Linked DNA regions of Nothobranchius furzeri. Each later gene encodes a partner of the first gene's protein in a complex. Links are inferred from orthologs where the notes say so. Each region holds a gene or a part of one and is shown on either strand. Other genes may lie near its edges.

What was found.
Region 2: gtf2e2 (region 1) and polr2c share a complex: the UniProt entries of both Homo sapiens proteins name them as parts of the TBP-based Pol II pre-initiation complex. The link is inferred for Nothobranchius furzeri from reciprocal best matches to the Homo sapiens genes GTF2E2 and POLR2C.

Annotation. Positions count from the first base shown.
Region 1 is NC_091747.1:77,638,377-77,642,202, forward strand, and holds part of gtf2e2 (transcription initiation factor IIE subunit beta), read left to right. Parts: intron 1-2,697; coding exon 2,698-2,880; intron 2,881-2,956; coding exon 2,957-3,050; intron 3,051-3,826. UniProt on the Homo sapiens protein: Recruits TFIIH to the initiation complex and stimulates the RNA polymerase II C-terminal domain kinase and DNA-dependent ATPase activities of TFIIH. Both TFIIH and TFIIE are required for promoter clearance by RNA polymerase.
Region 2 is NC_091744.1:86,086,072-86,089,257, forward strand, and holds the end of polr2c (DNA-directed RNA polymerase II subunit RPB3), read left to right. Parts: intron 1-1,498; coding exon 1,499-1,627; intron 1,628-1,699; coding exon 1,700-1,751; intron 1,752-1,850; coding exon 1,851-2,019; intron 2,020-2,093; coding exon 2,094-2,168; intron 2,169-2,325; coding exon 2,326-2,470; 3' UTR 2,471-2,614; downstream 2,615-3,186. UniProt on the Homo sapiens protein: Core component of RNA polymerase II (Pol II), a DNA-dependent RNA polymerase which synthesizes mRNA precursors and many functional non-coding RNAs using the four ribonucleoside triphosphates as substrates.

The DNA.
Region 1 (3,826 bases):
AAAAAGAAGACAAAAGTTTTAGGTTAAAGCAGCTTAAAATAAAATAGTCTTCAGCTGTTTTTTAAAAGTTTACCAGACTGAATACTATGGAAGGATAAAGGAAGATCATTCCAAAGTCGGGGGGTGACAGCCTGGAAGGAGCGATCACCTCGACTGGTCTTTGGTACTTCTAGAAGGTTCTGGTTTGTGGACCTGAGCGGTGGGGTTGAAGCAAGGTGGTCAAGGTTTTTTTTGTTAAAACATGTGAAGAGTGTGTTACAGTAATCTAGACGAGAGGAGATAAAGGCATGGATAACTAATTCAAGTTCATGTTTTGACACCAACCTTCACAGTTTGGAGATATTTCTTAAGTGGTGAAAATGTTTCGGACCAATGTTTTTGAGTGGTTTGAGTGGCCTTGAAGAGAAGAAACAACACCCAAATTCCTCAAGTTTAACTTGACATCAGAGGTTAAATGACCAAGTTGTTTACTAGTCAGGGGAACCATGCTCTCACTAGTCAGGGGAACCATGCTCTTGGGGACAATGAGCAGACATTTGGTTTATCCTCATCGGCCCTCTCACTTCTGCCTTGGGGGATACCGCAGGGTTCTATACTGGGACCGTTGCTGTTTCCCATTTATATTCTCCCATTGGGGGACATTCTACAAAAGTTTGGAATTGGATTCCATCTCTTTGCCGACAACTGCCAATTGTACTTACCTCTAGATGGCGCCGGTGATCACACGATAAAGATTTTTGAGATTGTTTGGCAGAAATTAAGATATGGTTGGCAGAAAACTTCCTGTGTCTCAATGGGAAAAAAAACAGAGGCACTGTTGTTTGGACTGAGTGAACATTTAGATTTTTCCAACGTAGACTGCGGTAAACTGAACTCCTGTATGGGTGTTTCAGCAGTCAACCTTGGCGTGAAGATGGACAGTGCATTCTGCATGGATGCTCATGTGGGTACTGTAGTATCCTCTTCATTTTATCATTTAAGACGTTTGGCTAAAGTAAAGCCATTTTTATCTAGACGTGACCTTGAGACTGTTGTTCATGCTTTTATTACCTCACGACTCGACTATTGCGATTCCGTTTTATTTGGTGTAAGGGTACTGTAGCCCGATTGCAGCTTGTCCAGAATGCTGCAGCTAGATTCTTGGACTGCAAAAGGAAGCATGAGCACGTGACACCAATTTTGGCTGCTCTCCACTGTTTACCTGTTGATTTTAGAATTCGTTTTAAAGTTCATTTAATGGTGTTAAAGGCGCTGAATGGTGTGGCTCCAGCCTATTTCAATCAATCAATCAATCAAAGCTTTATTTATAAAGCGCCTTCCGCAACCCTGTCAGGAAGCCCAAGGCACTGAACATGGTACAGTAGAAGTACAAATATAGTGAATAAATCAAAAATAAAAGCAATTCAAAAATAAAAGCAAATTAAATTACTAAATACAAATTACAAAAAAAGGTGAAACATTCTGGTACAGGACAGATGTGTAAAACAATGGATAGAGTGAACCAATGAAAACTGTGAAATAAATTCAACATAATAGAGGGCCGAATCAAACATGTTCAGGAAACGCCAAGCGGAGGAGGTGTGTTTTTAGGTGACTCTTAAAGGCTGGCAGAGATGGGGACAGCCTAACTGAGGGTGGCAACTGGTTCCAGTGTGACGGTGCTAGGACTGAGAAAGCCCGGTCCCCGCGAATACGACACCTAGAACGAGGGACAGCGAGCAGGCCTTGGTCAGAGGAGCGCAGAGCGCGTGATGGGGAGTGTTTGTTCAGGAGAGTGGCTAGATAGGGGGGACCACCACCCTGGAAGAAATGATAAACAAAGACGAGGATTTTGAATTGTGAGCGATAGCAAACCGGAAGCCAGTGCAGGGAGGCCAGAACCGTACTGATGTGGTCCCGTTTCCTGGTCCCAGTCAGGAACCTATTTGGCTTAGTTGCTGCAGCCATATGCTCTGGCCCAGTCACTCCGCTCTGAGAACCAGCTGCTGCTTGTGGCTCCTAAGGCTAGGCTGAAGTTAAGAGGGGACAGGACGTTCTCTGTTGCGGGTCTGAAACTGAGGAAAGCAATGCCCCTAACTATTAGGGACTCTCCATCAGTAGCAGTTTTTAAAATGAGGCTGAAAACGTACTTTTATGATCTGGCTTTTAATTCTGTGGGTTAGCAGTTGTTAATGTTTTATATTTTGCAAGTCTCATTTGTGGTTTTAAATATGTCTGTAGCGATATGTTTTATTGTTTTACTATTTTGTTGTACAGCACCTTGGTGGCATGCTCATGCCTGTAAGGTGCTTTATAAATAAAGGCTGAGTTGAGTTGAGTTATTCAGAAGTGAACTGAAGGATGTTTTCTTCTAGCCAGCTGGTGATGGCTGATAGACTAGTAATTCAGACAGTTTATAGAACTCAGAATCCCTACAGCTGAATATCATCTGCATATAGATAAGAGACATTATGAAAAGGATAATAATCTGTCCAAGAGGGTTTATATACAGTAGAAAAAGAGTGAACTCAAAACAGAGCCTTGGGGTACCCCACAGAGCAGATCGATAGAATCTGACATGATTTGGTTTATATAGACAAACATATGTTTTTGTTAAAAAGCCTCTGCATATCTTACTTTTACTTTACGTTTCATCTATTACCATTATTAGTACCATTAAATCTATGACTCAGTAGTTATATCTGCTATTATTTTCAGGCATTGGTCAACAACCCAAAAATTGAGGTTCGTGATGGGACTTATGGCTTCAAGCCCAAGTACAACCTGAAGGACAAGAAGGCCTTAGTGAGGCTGCTGGACAAACATGACCAACTTGGCCTGGGTGGAGTGCTACTGGACGATGTGGAGGAGGGGCTCCCTAATGCTGCCAAAGCCATCAAGGTGACCCAAATTTACATGAAGATGTGTTTAAATACGAGAATCAAACATGGAATTATAGATGTTTGTATCTCTGTAGGCTTTGGGAGATCAGATCATCTTTGTTACAAGACCAGACAAGAAGAAGGTTCTGTTCTACAATGACAAGAATTGTCAGTTTTCAGTTGACGAAGGTGGGTGATGTTGTTGACTGTATGTCCCACTCTGTCTCTCTACAGAGATCAGAGAATAACGCAACACCGATACCCGAGTTTGCTCAGAATGGGGCAGAAATGTGGACAACAGTTTAATCGGGACATCTTAATTTACTTAGCTTCTTTATAGCCTAGTCAAATGATAAATGACCCGCACTTGTATAGCGCCTCTCAGAGTAAGGACTCCAAAGCGCTTTACACTACAGTGTATCATTCATCCATTCACACACACATTCACACGCTGGTGGTGATGAGCTACGATGTAGCCACAGCTGCCCTGGGGCGCACTGACAGAGGCGAGGCTGCCGAGCACAGGCGCCACCGGTCCCTCCGACCACCACCAGCAGGCAAGGTGGGTTAAGTGTCTTGCCCAAGGACACAACAGCAGAATTCTCTGTCCGGAGCCGGGATCGAACCTGCAACCTTCCGATTACTGGACAACCCGCTCAACCTGTTGAGCTACTGCTGCCCAAACCGTAGCCGCAGCAAAAGGTTTTGCTCCGAAGGTCGATCTAGCCACACTTTGTTGTAGTCTCAGCAGGTTCACCATTGGCCCAAACTATTTTAGGTCTGGCATATCACAGAGCTCAATGAGACATGAGCAGATGGAGGTACTTAAAGCTTCTGGCCAGAGGTAATTTCCTTTCAGTGACGGGTAGAAAGTCTAAAAACCTCTGCTGAAAAAAGATCTGACTTCCGCTGCAAAAACACAAGATAGTTTCTGATCTTTCTGACGCTACCCAGCTGGTTACATC
Region 2 (3,186 bases), on another chromosome or scaffold:
TTTGAAAGCCACTATTTGTGGATTCTCTGAAAGTTTCCATGGAGTGTGTGACAACTTATTTTTTCATTGATCCTATCGTCTAATCTCACAGCTGAAACAAGCATCCTTAATAATCTGTGCACAGGAAGCTTACCGATGCTGTAGTAAAACAAAAGGTATAATAATTTATTATTAATAAAACCTTGTTGCAGCACTAAAGCAGAAAAATTAGATTTTGCATTAAATATGCAAAATATTTACATATGAATTGTTTTAGAGCCCTTTAATTGGCAGAATCTGATATTAATTTAGTTCTTACAAAAAATGGGTCCCAACATGGTTTGTGTGGCGTTGCCATAGTGTGACGTCATAGGCACAGATCCCCTGTCCTCTTGTTTGGAAATGGAAATATGATCACCCTACATTAAACAAACTGTCCACCCGGGCTTTTGCGCTGCACAGAGACGCTTCGCTGCCTACGACTGAACGTCAGTTGAGAGTCAGTCTCATGCAGACTGACCAATGAAGAGAGGGCCTCAAGTTAAGACCCTCTCCTCATTGGTCAGTCCACACGAGGTGGGTCAAAGGTTACTCTGGGCGGGTTACGTGTTGTCAGGCATTCAAGTATTGAGTATATTTACTGCATATTACAGTAAAATATTCTGTATGTGACCACATTATGGTGATCCTCGGGTCGTGATGATGGAGCCCTTGAATATTGTTGCCCAGGGTACAACAAAGTGTTAATCTGGCCCTGGTTCCGCCGTCACATTCCCGCAGAAACTGGTTGATCACACCGGGGCCAGACTACTAGCATGTGGTTTTACAACCACAATGTCCTCAGAAGCAAAAGCGCTTTTAAAAGGGAGGGAGGAGTCCTAACTGTTGCTGCAGGCGTGTTGTGTGAGAGTGCAGTTATATACTGGTTAATATATTTTTGGGTTCAGTTGCTTTCATGTGGCCTAATGTGAGTCTATTTGGGATCATTGGAATGATCAGCAGCATTTCTTGATGTGACTTTATGGCAGTTGCCCAGGGCATCATCGCAAGGAGGATGGCATTCATTTACTTTTGCTTTATTTGGTATTTTTTCAGTCATTTTTGGAAATAGTGATCAATTTTGATTAATTCACAGCCAATGTTTAATTACATTTAAAATAAATGTCAACAGATGAGATCAAACAAAACAGATGAGAATTGCCCTTAAGCTGTTTAACTTGGACCAAGCATTTTAGGTCACAGATAGATGTAGCTTAGGGTCTCTGTCTATACACCTTATAAGACAATTTAGGTGATGGCATGTTGTTTTCTAATAATGTTGTGTTAAATAAAGTGAAGGAAGGAGAGAAATAACGTTTCCCTAGCAGTTTTAAAAAATTTCCCCATGTAATCCGATTAATCGATTAATCGTGTCGAGACCCCATCCGATTAATCGATTATCCATATAATCGTTTGTTGCAGCCCTAGTGGTTATTGTTGGTGTCAGCATCATTGTCCCACGTGTCCGCTCCTCCTGCAGGACTGTACCTGTGAAGATTTCTGTCCTGAGTGCTCCGTGGAGCTGACCCTGGATGTTCGGTGCACGGAAGATCAGACGCGTCACGTCACCTCGCGTGACCTGTTGTCCAACAATCCCAGAGTCATCCCGGTGAGTGTGCAGTCTCTGGAGTTGCATCACAGAGCAGAACACAAAGCTTAACGTTCTCTTGTGGGTTTCTAGGTGACTTCTAGGAGCCGAGACAATGATCCAAATGACTACGTTGAGCGAGAGGGCGAGTTTCTCTTTAAAATACTTGTGGAACAATTTCATTGTGTTCTTCCACACTTTGCTTATCTACATTTTCTGTTTGTGTCGTTTACCAACACGACAGACATTTTGTTGGTAAAGCTTCGTAAAGGTCAGGAGCTTCGGCTCAGAGCGTACGCAAAGAAAGGTTTTGGTAAGGAGCACGCCAAGTGGAACCCAACCGCGGGGGTGTCCTTTGAGTACGACCCGGACAACGCACTGAGACACACGGTCTATCCACGACCTGAGGAGTGGTACGTCTTCATTTCACCATAAATCTTGTAAATTATAATGCTGAACAGCAACAGAATGGTGTGTTTTATCTCAGGCCAAAGAGTGAATACTCTGAGATCGAGGAGGATGAAGTTCAGGCTCCCTACGACCCAAACGGAAAGCCAGAAAGGTAAATAAACTTCTATTATAGGATAATTTTAATGATGTTTCCTGTTAAGAAGTTCTGCGTGTTCTTGGTTCAGCTCAGGAATCGTTTTTACTTTAAAAAAAAAACACAAAACTGAGATGTTCTGAAAAGGAAAACTTGGGATTTTTGCTCCATCCAGGTTCTATTTCAACGTGGAGTCGTGCGGTTCTCTTCGACCAGAGACCATCGTCATGTCGGCGTTGGCGGTCCTCAAGAAGAAGCTGAGTGACCTGCAAACGCAGCTGAGCCACGAGATCCAGAGTGACGTTCTCACCATCAACTAACTAAGCAGAACCTGGATTCACACTGGCTAGGGGGGTTCTGAGATTAATACAAAATATTTAGTTGGATTAAGAATAAAACTTCAAACTGTCAGATAATTATTTTTTGTTTAATGACTGTTTTTAAATAAATCCTTTTTAAATGTGTGTCTCTTTACTAGTGTTCGTTTTATTTTGAAGACCAGCTGTTGGAAGTTTGAAGTGACCTGAAGAAACTTTGTGCTTCAAAGATAAAAGAAAAACAAGAAAACTAAATCTCTAGATAATGACAGCAGTATGAAAATCGAGCTATTTGTAATATTCTATTTAATTTGATATTTTTTGTAATTAGAATTTTAATCCTCCAATGAAAACAAAAAATAATGACTTCAGATTATGTTTAATTGTAATTGGTAATCTGATTTGATTGATGGCCACATACTCTGTTAAAAAGGGATTAAATTTATTAAGCCATCTAGATGCAACTGACTAGCGCTTCATCATCATCACAACACCACCCTGCTTCACTGGCTGCCAGTCAACTTCAGGGTTCATTTCAAGATCCTGGTTCTGGTCTATAGGGCCTTACATGGACAAGCACCATCTTACATTGGTGATCTTCTTAGTCCCTACACCCCCAGCAGGTCCCTGAGGTCCAGTGATCAAAGCCTACTGGTTGTGCAGCACCAGGCTAAAGGTCAAAGGTGACAGATCATCTGCTGCTGTGGCCCCCAGACTCT